Kluyveromyces lactis: one gene and its partners. The protein of the gene in region 1 purifies or fractionates together with the protein of each later gene. This does not show direct contact. Links are inferred from orthologs where the notes say so. Each region holds a gene or a part of one and is shown in the gene's direction. Other genes may lie near its edges.

Evidence for each region. The genes of interacting proteins can lie anywhere in the genome.
Region 2: the proteins of GCN5 (region 1) and AHC1 purify together in Saccharomyces cerevisiae (affinity purification with mass spectrometry; 5 studies listed by BioGRID, with this or other methods). This does not show direct contact. The link is inferred for Kluyveromyces lactis from reciprocal best matches to the Saccharomyces cerevisiae genes GCN5 and AHC1.
Region 3: the proteins of GCN5 (region 1) and SGF73 purify together in Saccharomyces cerevisiae (affinity purification with mass spectrometry; 13 studies listed by BioGRID, with this or other methods). This does not show direct contact. The link is inferred for Kluyveromyces lactis from reciprocal best matches to the Saccharomyces cerevisiae genes GCN5 and SGF73.
Region 4: the proteins of GCN5 (region 1) and SGF11 purify together in Saccharomyces cerevisiae (affinity purification with mass spectrometry; 8 studies listed by BioGRID, with this or other methods). This does not show direct contact. The link is inferred for Kluyveromyces lactis from reciprocal best matches to the Saccharomyces cerevisiae genes GCN5 and SGF11.

The regions. Positions count from the first base shown.
Region 1 is NC_006037.1:454,956-458,138, reverse strand, and holds GCN5 (histone acetyltransferase GCN5), read left to right. Parts: upstream 1-1,132; coding exon 1,133-2,683; downstream 2,684-3,183. Other genes in the region: ATG7 (Atg7p), read left to right, coding at 1-699; PUP2 (proteasome core particle subunit alpha 5), read right to left, coding at 2,928-3,183. UniProt on the Saccharomyces cerevisiae protein: Histone acetyltransferase that acetylates histone H2B to form H2BK11ac and H2BK16ac, histone H3 to form H3K9ac, H3K14ac, H3K18ac, H3K23ac, H3K27ac and H3K36ac, with a lower preference histone H4 to form H4K8ac and H4K16ac, and contributes to H2A.Z acetylation.
Region 2 is NC_006041.1:833,865-836,916, reverse strand, and holds AHC1 (Ahc1p), read left to right. Parts: upstream 1-1,205; coding exon 1,206-2,552; downstream 2,553-3,052. Other genes in the region: KLLA0_E09417g (uncharacterized protein), read right to left, coding at 269-691; DDL1 (putative carboxylic ester hydrolase), read left to right, coding at 2,841-3,052.
Region 3 is NC_006038.1:214,243-217,569, reverse strand, and holds SGF73 (deubiquitination module subunit SGF73), read left to right. Parts: upstream 1-1,351; coding exon 1,352-2,827; downstream 2,828-3,327. Other genes in the region: PGC1 (phosphatidylglycerol phospholipase), read left to right, coding at 1-776; ALG2 (GDP-Man:Man(1)GlcNAc(2)-PP-dolichol alpha-1,3-mannosyltransferase), read right to left, coding at 2,944-3,327. UniProt on the Saccharomyces cerevisiae protein: Component of the transcription coactivator SAGA complex. SAGA acts as a general cofactor required for essentially all RNA polymerase II transcription. At the promoters, SAGA is required for transcription pre-initiation complex (PIC) recruitment.
Region 4 is NC_006040.1:997,544-999,463, forward strand, and holds SGF11 (SAGA histone acetyltransferase complex subunit SGF11), read left to right. Parts: upstream 1-1,126; coding exon 1,127-1,420; downstream 1,421-1,920. Other genes in the region: CTA1 (catalase A), read left to right, coding at 1-777; ubiquitin-protein ligase RMD5, read left to right, coding at 1,655-1,920. UniProt on the Saccharomyces cerevisiae protein: Component of the transcription coactivator SAGA complex. SAGA acts as a general cofactor required for essentially all RNA polymerase II transcription. At the promoters, SAGA is required for transcription pre-initiation complex (PIC) recruitment.

The DNA.
Region 1 (3,183 bases):
ATATTTCCTTCTGTCGTTTCTGCAGGTTATCAATTGGAAATACCAATGATAGGACATCCTGTATCGAACGAAAGCAAGCAGAGGAAGGATTATGAAATTTTGGACGAGCTTATAAGGACGCATGATGTTATATTTCTTTTAATGGATGCACGCGAGACGAGATGGCTTCCCTCGGTGCTTGGACGAATGCATGAAAAAATAGTTATTAATGCGGCCCTTGGTTTTGACAGTTATTTGGTAATGAGACATGGCAACAATAATGACAACCTGGGTTGCTATTTCTGTAACGATATCGTGGCCCCAAGTGATTCTCTAACTGACAGAACATTAGATCAGATGTGTACTGTAACTAGACCGGGTGTTGCCCTATTAGCGGCTTCCCAGGCTGTTGAATTATTGGTGACATATCTTCAGCCTTCGACGAACGTGCTTGGGTCAGCTCCGCATCAAATACGAGGATTTCTAAATGAATTTAAAACTGTAAAACTTGAAACACCGGCATATCAGCACTGTTGTGCAAGCAATGAAAATGTCATTTTAACTCTAAAGGAAAACGGATGGAATTTCGTGAAACAGGCGCTAGATGATTATAAGTGTGTGGAGCAATTAAGTGGACTGTCGAAGGTGCAAGAGGAGGCTGAATTGGCAATTCAAGAAGATATTTCCTTTGATGACGACGAGGAATTGTCAATAGAGTGAAGTATAGCCAGTGCATCTGACAGGCTGATGCGTGGAATGATGTGACATGCATTCCTTTTGTGATGAAGCGTAGAAATCGATATTCGTCGTTAGGAAAAGGTGTTTATCTCTGATTTAACGGTCAGGATGAAATTTAGTTTTATAATTCCCAAGATAAATATAAGTCTTGCACAATTTGCAGCGTATTACGCCATGACGGGCTTGGTACACCTACATAACTGGGCCTTTTTCCGTGATCCATCAGCTTATACCAGGCATGTTTTAGATGTAGACTAAACTCGTTATCCGACTGTGGTGTACGGATGTATAAATCAACTTGAAAAATTACCAAAGCATACAAGAACGGGAATATATATTAGGTCGAGTAGACAGGATAAATAGTCACACGTAGACAAGATAAATAGTCACACGTAGACAAGAAGCTAAGCACCAAATGCCACCGAAGAGACGCCACCATGGTGCTGGAAGAGTCCAGAATAAGAGGGGAAAAGTTGACACTGTAAAAGAGGAAATCAAACCCAAAGATGAGCCTGTGGAAACTGAAATCGATGGCGGATCTGCAGTTGATGAAGATGTTACCGATGATTTAGAACACAAGACGAGCAAGGAAGACCAGAAGGAAGACCAGAAGGAAGAGGACGGACCTATAGATGCACAGAACGGAACTTCTGAAACAAAAGTTGCGGGGGAATCCGTAAAAACAGTGGAAGACAAAATCGAATCAGTTACAACGAATGAAGAGGTCGTTGAATCACCAGTCAATGACTACAATGCCAGTAGTACAACTACCAAGGCTGAAGAGAAACAATTAGAGGAAGAAGCAAATGAAAAGACGGATACATCTCCTATAGTTGAAAATGAGGTCGTTGATGAAGAGGCCGGCACAACAAAATTTGACTTTGATGGTCAAGAATACAGTTATAAAGACAGACCTAGTGTAATAGAAGAGAAGGAAGGAAAGATTGAATTCAGAGTGGTTAATAATGATAATAGCAAGGAAAATATGATGGTTTTAACAGGGTTAAAGAATATCTTTCAAAAGCAATTGCCTAAGATGCCCAAAGAATATATTGCTCGTTTAGTTTACGATCGTTCACATCTTTCTATGGCCGTGGTACGGAAACCGTTGACTGTTGTTGGTGGAATAACCTATAGACCTTTTGATAAAAGAGAGTTCGCAGAAATTGTCTTCTGTGCTATTAGTTCGACCGAACAAGTCAGAGGTTACGGTGCACATTTAATGAATCATTTAAAAGATTACGTGAGGGCAACATCGCCAATAAAGTATTTTCTAACATATGCGGATAATTATGCTATCGGGTATTTCAAGAAGCAGGGATTCACGAAAGAGATCACATTGGACAAGAATGTCTGGATGGGATACATAAAGGATTATGAAGGTGGTACCTTAATGCAATGTTCCATGCTGCCAAGAATCCGGTATCTTGATGCAGCAAAAATCCTCTTATTGCAAGAAGCAGCAATTAGAAGGAAAATTCGTAGCATTTCTCAATCTCACATAGTTCGTCCAGGTTTGAAACAGTTCTTGGATCTTGATAATATAAAACCCATCGATCCAATGACAATACCTGGTTTAAAAGAAGCTGGCTGGACTCCAGAAATGGACGAACTGGCGCAGAGACCAAAACGTGGCCCTCATTATGCAGCAATGCAAAATCTTCTCACCGAATTGCAAAATCATGCAGCGGCATGGCCCTTTTTGCAACCCGTCAATAAGGAAGAAGTCCCCGACTATTACGAATTTATTAAGGAACCAATGGATTTGAGTTCTATGGAAATGAAACTAAACGGGAACAGATACGAAAAGATGGAAAATTTCATATATGATGCAAGGTTAATATTTAACAATTGTCGTGCGTACAACGGTGAAAACACATCTTATTTCAAGTACGCAAATCGTCTAGAAAAATTCTTCAATTCTAAAGTCAAAGAGATTCCAGAGTATTCACATCTTGTGGATTAATACTAACGATAATGAAATACTAATTTGTCGATATCTTTGCGTACCTGAACAGTCTACATGGCGAAAGTTGGCACATATATATATGATATGTATAAATATACATATACCGAAAGTGTAACATTAAAAGGCTCAGAAGGAGCTCCTGTATGTATACAAGCAATCCATGATTAGAGAAATAATGAAATTTTATAATCGATTTTCTGTTGATTAATAACGTGTTTCGAAAGACAAGGAGTGTAATCTATCACTCCATTTCGACATCCGAATGTTCGGACCCAGGAGGCTTCTCCTCCTTTTCCTTTTCCTTTAACTCTTTTATAATTTCAGCAGTTTTCTCATCTGAATAGATTTGAAATCCCTCTTTTGTGATACTGCTCAATTGTGCATTATTTTCATCTAATTTCTCTTCCATTACTTGCTTTAAGATCTTTAACACCAGCGATTCCGCCTCTTTCAAAGTAAGCGATGAATGCCATTCGTTTTGTAATTCTGATTGTGCA
Region 2 (3,052 bases), on another chromosome or scaffold:
TCTTTCTACCTCTCTTTCTTGGATAGCAAATACCTTTTTTCAAAGGGATTCGCTCAGCTTAATTTACTTACTTTTTATTTTACCTTCATGATTAAGATTCAAATTATCACAGATTCTAAACCCGGAGCATCGATATATTTAACTTCACCTCTCTGAGAAGCATAGCTTTATTTATATATTCATATAGATGCATGTGTGCTGTCTCTTTATGTACATTACAATCGTTAATAGATTTTAACAAAGAAATACAAGTAACATTTCTCCTCTTTCATCGAAGAAAAGATCTAATCTCTGAGTCATCGTCCGCCTTCGCCAAGAATTCTCGTAATGAATCCAAATCTGCGATCGATATCACTTTCAGATGCATAATTTCAACGACTTTATCGTACTTCCTATAACAACATCTCATATCTAAGATATCGCCCTTATGTGGTCTTTCACCTGATTTGGTATTGATGAACGCTTCGTCATAGATTGTCTCATCAATCAAGAAATAATATGATCTTTCTCTATTCGTTTCTGCATTGAAATCTGGAACGTTGCTAAAATGAAGATAAATCCCATCGGTTCTTTCATGTGAATGAGAAATGTCCTGAAATTGTGCGAAGATTCGAAGTCTTAACAACGTATCTCCTGCGTACTCCTCGATCTTTCCGGCAATTGTATCAAGATCCGTAATAATTTTGCTCATACTCTTCCTGTCATAAGATATATGCAGACATACCGGTAGTCAAGGGGAAGTGGCTCACTCATGTGTTCTCAATTTAAGTATTGCCCAGTTTATTAAAGTCTGGAAGATCTATCTAAAATGACTTTTGGAAAACTTTAAAAAAGGATAAATACAAAGAAATACTGATAACAACGGACTCTCTACCTGAGCTCATCACGGCTCAAAAGATTCTCAATATTTGTCCCTCACTAAGTGGTCATGTTGATTGGTTTACAGACACCAGCTTTCTTGTCGCGCTGTTTCCTCGACCCATTTCAAAATAGGCATAATTTATCCAATGTGTTTACGGTTTTAAACAGCTAGAGCCTTTCTCTTCATTCTCATTTTCCATATAAGTAGTAACAAAAAAAAAAAAAATTGTACATAACGGATTATTAACAATAGAAAGATTTTGGAAGAAAAGGGCGTAAAGACTGAGCAAATTTGTACATTAATAGACGTCCGTCACCCTATATTTGTTGCTAAACATATTCTAATGCATTCTGTGGATCATAGAAATAGTCATCAGGTACTTTTCATGGATGAAGATGATGTAGATAGCATTTCCAGATCAAACCACACGATATCATATTACCAAGTGGCAACTCCAAAATCACCACATGAACTCTCTTCTATAGCGGATAATGAGGATAATGACTCTATACACTCGTCACACCCACATGAAGATGCTGAAAGGTTAAAGTTTATGTCCACAAGAAGAGAAATACTGGACCAACTAAACTTGCAGATCATGTTGACACATAAAGAAATGGAGCATATAATAGAAGAGAATGATAAGGTATCCGGGCAGTTGGAAGTGTTAAAGATAATGCATGATGACCCTGAACTAACGGATAAGATCTCAAAGTACCAAGAGACGAGAACTAAAGAGGTGGAGGAAAGCATCAAGGCGGGATGCTCAAATGTGGAAACCCGCGAGGGAATCTATTACTACCATACAAGAAGTAAAGGCGGATCGAAAGTTAGTGGGCTACGGCTTGCTAATGAAAACGTTATTGACATTCGTATGCGTGGCATAAAGACTGTTCCTCAACAAACTTCAGCCACTGAGGTACAGAAATCAGAGGCAATAATTTCGAAGATGCCTCACCATAATCACCAACGAAACTTCAGTAGCACATGCGCTACTAGCAACAGTGGTATGATCGGAACCACTGACTTGGGTCAGCCTATATTCAGAAGACCTGATGGAATACTCATAATAATTACATGCTCTCAATGTGGAAGGGAAGGTTTCACATCTGCGCAAGGTATTGTCAATCATATGAGGCTAAAACATTTTCTCCACTATCAGTCACAACCCTTAGCGGTGCTCAGTAACCAGGTTATACTTCCGGATGAAAAGCAGGATCCAGAGATCCTAGCGAAGTTCAAAGAGTTAAAGAAAACTCCAAAGGATAGCTATTTGGCTTCGCCGATACCCTTACAACATAATGACAAAAAAATTACGAAAGACACGCCGAAGGCAACCTCGGTAGCTGAAGAATCCGCCCTAACGAAATCAACGACCCATCTTCAGAAAATGTATGGCAAGGACGATTTCAAGGATATAATCAACTACGTCAAGGACGCAAAGAATGATCTTGAAACGATAATGAAATATGAGGATGAGGAGGGTTTAGGAACCGCTTCAGAAGAAGAAGCAAAACCGAAACCTAGAAAAAGGAGTATGCTCAATGAACGGAATAAGCCTGCCGAAAAGAAAGCAAGACCAGATGTCATACATGTCACCGAGAATCACATTCCTGAGGAAGAAAAACGTTCTAGACATTATAATCTTCGTGCTAAGTCAAAGCTTAGGTCTTTCAATCGTGATGACTGAACGAAATTCAATATTTAAGGAACGAAAACACTATGTAACCATATAAATTAAAGAACTTTAATTGACTCCAGCGGATTGCGTTGCCAGCAATGTTTAATGCAATCACTTAGGTCGAATGTTTTATCTATTCAGTCATCCGTAACTTAAAAAGTTTTCCCCTATTGTCATGCAAAAAGATAATATTTTGAAAAATAAACTAGAATGAAATAGTACCTTGACGCTGGCCTACAATCCGTACAGGATTGTGGTAAAGTGCTTGTTATAAAGGAAAATATATGGGGAAGCTTGATGAAGGTGCGGGCTATGTGGAAAGAAAATAGGCGCTATTTCTCATCTAGGTGGTTTTATGCAATTGACATTCCTAAAACCAAACCTTTTGAATCAGAGTATGTACCAAAAACGGCACCTTTAAAATTTCAACCGTTCTCCAAGGTCGACTCCAAACGGATTGAGGACCTCTATACCCAGAAGAATTTCAGTAGGAAACTTGATGTTAATGA
Region 3 (3,327 bases), on another chromosome or scaffold:
ATGTCGTGATAGGTGAGACGAACTTGGATGAATTACTACTGTTGAAGAGTAAGATAAATCCAGAAATCAGGATAACGACATTCAAGGACGCCTTACAATGGTTAAAAGAACACCCTACAATGAAATTTATGTTGGATATCAAGCCTACAAATGATAAGGTTCTTTTAATCAAGGCGATTCTTGAAATGAGAGCAGTAGTCGATGATTTAGATTTCTGGAGGCAACGTTTGATGTTCGGATTGTGGCAACTTGATTGGTACAAATACGGGGTCACCACGGCCACACTGAAGGGTTTCAAGATCGTGGCCATCTTACCCTTCACAGCGATGGCTACTAAATTTGTCGAATACTCTAAATCCTTGAGCGATGACAACTACAAGTTGCATGGTGTCAGTCTTCATTTCATTAACTCTTGGAAACCCGATTTCAAGAAAACTGTATTACCATACTTGCAAGAAAACAACCTTGCCGTATACCTTTGGACCGTCAATTCCGAAATTGACATCAAATATATCAGTAGTATGACCATTACCGGGATTATCGTTGATGATCCGGTAGCTTCAGTGTCAATTCGAGATGAGTACATTCGGAAAGCAGTGCCGTTTGTACCGCCAATTTTCAATAGCTCTGAAGGTTTTAGACTATACCTTAGACTTCGGGTATTCGAAGTGGCTGAAAGGATCCTTAGCTCAAGATGGGCCACTGTCCCAGTATTCCATGATATCACCTTGTTGAAAGTAACCGTTTTATTGTTAAGAAGAATCCACTTCATTTAAATGTCATTTCATTTCGTAGACAATCTATATAACACACATACCATAGGAAGTTAATATCCTGAAATATGTTATATTTAGCTTGCAATTCGATTATCGACGGACCAATTGGTGTGTGGGGGATTGACACATTCCATTAAGTCATATCACGTGATTGTAAGAACTTTCAAGTTTCCCTTTCTGAAAGTCGACGATTTCGACAGGAATAACATACCGATGGACAGAAACATTTCATAAGATAATACATGAATTCAGATGCTTGAAAGTATTTAGAGCGGGTGATCCAAAGATTTTAAAAGGCTTTTGAGATAGTTCTAACGTGTTATTTACCTGCCACAAAAGTTACTTTTGTACAATCAATATTGAGGGCTCACTTCATACCAGATTCTTTTTTTTTAACGTGCTATTTTTACCATAGTTAGGCACCAATTTGCATTACCACCGATAGACTCTGGTTTATTTTTGAAAGCTAGGTAAGGACAGTTTGATCATTGTTAGCTTGTCTCAATTCATTCATCATTTCCATCGTAATTCTCCCTATCATTTTTTTTTTACCTGGCTGATTTTGGTACAAGAGCATGTCAAGTGTCAATATAGAGATTAAAGGAATCAGATCAGACATTCAATTAGAAGATTTAGGAAGTAGCAAGAACGGTTGGAAGGAGTTACTGTCTATTGTTAAGAATAACGGGAATAGTTCGGATTTATCATCCACGGATATTCGTTCAAAATACTTGAGCAGGCCGTCAGAAGTTTTATCTGGCGTTTCTAAAGAGGATATCCGTTATAGGAATTGTACAGCTTGCCACCAGCCGGTATTGGTGTCAGCTATTATAGATCATTTAGAGAATCACTGTATTGATAAAATGCCTGTGAAAAAGAATGAGACGCAGGATATCATGTCTTCTCCTGCTAAAAGTAAGGGGAGTAATAAGAGATCCTCGTCGATAGATCCTGAGAATTTCGATTCACCTTCAAAGAAACAGAAATCATCCACTCCTTCTGGATCGACTAGAAAACAAAGGAAGATAAAACAGCGAAACCCGACAGAGCCACATCTGGTTAACTTCGATAAACAGTGTGGTGTACCATTACCTGAAGGTGGTGTTTGCGGTAGATCATTAACATGTAAATCGCACTCAATGGGAGCGAAACGTGCAGTGGAGGGACGGTCACAGCCATTTGACATATTATTAGCTGATTATCAGAAACGCAACCAGTTGAAATCTTCGGCGTCCAAGACTAGAATCCAAAAGGCACAGCAAAATCAGCAGGATCCACAAGTTAAACAAAAGGGGAAAGATAAAAACACTGGGAAAACCAGCAGCAATGAAGTGGTCAATGAGTCATTACCCAAATTGTCCCCTGAAGAAGAGACTACTCTGGTTTTGAACGGTGTTTCACGTTCATACCCACTACCGTTAGAAACTACGGTATTGACTTCTACACGATCAAGAACCAAGTACGTCAGAATGAGAGAAATGTTTGGGTCTGCTTTCAGTATAAAACCAGGCTTTAAGAGCCCTGGAGTTGGTGCGTTCCGCTCAAGGGTCGGTCTTATTGACATTGATAGAACGACTGATTATACGTTCCGTATACGTACGCCTCAACCTATTAACGCATCACCTCAAAACTTGACACCAGAACAGCTTCAAATATTACAGGCCCAACGTTTGAAACAACAACAGCAGCAGCAGCAGCAACAACAGCAACAACAACAGCGGCAACGACAATCTAGTGCTACCGGATCGTTATCTCAAATGCAAATGCAAATTCCACAGTCAGTTCAGGCTGGAAAACCTGCAGGGCAACAACCCATGATGACCCAGGGCATCACCCCTCGGGATATTCAAACTCAACAGCTAATAATGCAACAACAGCAACAGAAACTCCTGCAGAAGAAAAGAATGGAAGACGCCAGTGCTCAACTAGATACGGCTTCTAAGTTGATGCAGCAAACAATAGGCTCACCGGTTAATACTCAAAGTCGAAGCAATTCAAATCAACCTGGTGTTCAATTTGGTGTAAATGGATATGGAGGAAGAGTTAATTAGTGTAATATTTAGAAACTTAATAGCTTGTTAACGTCTGTTTTTCATCTCTTAACTTTGAGGGGTATGTGTATATATTTTGCACAAGTCGTTATAATAAATTAAGATTGGCTTCGCTTTTAAGTTGAATAGTTTAGGTAACAGAAAACGATGATCCAGTACACAGTGGCCTTTACACTTCTTAATACAAAATAAGAAATCGCAGCTAGCAATAAATATGGCCAAGAAGCATCGCCTGTTATCAACAGTGTAGCATATTGGACAGTGAACATCAGTAGCCCTGGAGCTAATGTGCTCCATAAACGCGTTCCTCTTGACTTCCAAATAATATGGTCGATGGTATTATCAAAGTTTTTGGACATCGCTTCTCTGGAGAAATAGTACTTAATACGTTTAGGACCGTTAACTTCGAATAAGGAGTGATTCTTTTCAAATATGTCTACGGATTGATCCAACACTTTTGACCATTCATCAGCATCGGATGGTCGTAACCAACCAGTTGC
Region 4 (1,920 bases), on another chromosome or scaffold:
AAGGATTTGTTTGAAAACATCGCCAAGGGTAATTACCCATCTTGGACCCTTTACATTCAAACTATGACCGAAGAAGAGGCAGAAAAATTGCCATTCTCTGTATTCGATCTAACAAAAGTTTGGCCTCATAAGCAGTTCCCATTGCGTCGTGTAGGTAAGATGGTTTTGAATGAAAATCCAGAAAATTACTTCGCTCAAGTGGAACAGGCTGCATTCTCCCCATCGCACACCGTCCCATACCAAGAAGCTTCTGCTGACCCTGTCTTACAAGCACGTTTGTTCTCTTATCCAGATGCCCATCGTTACAGATTAGGCCCTAACTATTCTCAAATCCCTGTTAATTGTCCATATGCATCGAAGGTTTTCAACCCAGCTATCAGAGATGGCCCAATGAACGTTAACGGCAATTTGGGCAAAGAGCCAAACTATTTGTCTACTTCTAAGAAGTACCAATTCATTCAACAATCAAAGCCAATTCAACAACATCAAGAAGTATGGTCTGGGCCTGCAATGCCTGTACATTGGGCAACCTCACCAGGAGACATCGATTTCGTTCAAGCCAGAGACTTGTATAACAAAGTGTTGAGCAAACAGCCAGGTCAACAAAAGGCATTGGCCCACAATGTCGCAGTACACGTAGCAAGTGCATGCCCTGAAATCCAAGACCGTGTATTTGCCATGTTTGCAAGAGTCGACCGTGGTCTATCTGAAAACATCAAAAAGGAAGCTCTGAGCTTATCCCCAAGAAAGGCTGCTGCATTGAATGCAAAGTTATAGAGAGAATTAGCTGTGCTTTCTTTCTCTCTCTCTATCTCTTTCCGCTTTGTATGTACGTTTTATTTATCCCCATATTTATTACAAGTATACTATTAATATCTGTCCGTAATGAGATGCATGGTATCAGGCATTGTAGCCGCTAACATGTCGACTGTTGTCTCTTGTATTCTGCTTGTATTCCCTGTGCTTATCGTCAATTTTCTGCAATATCCAATTTTAATAGAAAAGCAAGGTCAAATTAGCTTACTTTGATATTGAAACAATCAATTCTGTTCTACGATCAGACATAAGACAACAGTACTGACTTGACTTATTCAGTATTTGCAACTATCAAGAGGTGGCTGTAACCATGACTGCTTCTTTGACCACAGATTCGGTTGCCGATTCCATATATCAGAACATTCTTACTTCTATCATCCAAGATATCATCTCGCGTCAAACAGTGAAGAGAAAGCTTCTGAAACTGCAATTCCCGGATGCTAAACCGTATTACGCTGACCCGTCAGGAACATTGGATATACACGGTAAGGCAAAGCAAGCAGACTCCGCCGTTTACATCGAATGTAATGTCTGTGGACGGGAAGTTAGTGGGAACAGGTTCGCTGCTCATCTCGTTAGATGCTTATCACGTGGTAGAAGGTGAGATTTCATTACCCAGCCTTAGTGCAGCCTTAAATCTTCCCCCAAACCCATAATGTGTGTCATTTCAAATCAAGTTGTCCAGCATCGTACCCTGTACCCTTAAACCTGTGATAACGATCTTTAACCCATCATTATAACGGTGTAAAGAGTTGTCAGGTGTTACTCTACAGAAGAGCGGAAAGTTAGAGACACTAGAACTAGCAAGTACCCTTCAGAGAATTAAACTGAGTTACTTATGTCGACTTTGCTAGAGACTTTAGATCAACAATGGGTCAATTCCAGATTATACGTTGATAAAGACGAGCGCAGGACCCAGCTTGGGAAATGTGTTGAAGAAGTGCACGACTTTAAGATCCAGTTGAAGAAATTGAAAGCGCATTTGCTGAAGCATGGATCAAGTCCACAGAAACGTCTTGTTATTAGGGAGAAACTAGCGAAATCTCATAAGAACTGGGATTCTTCCATGAAGAAATCCTTAAACTCTTCTATCAGCACTTACCG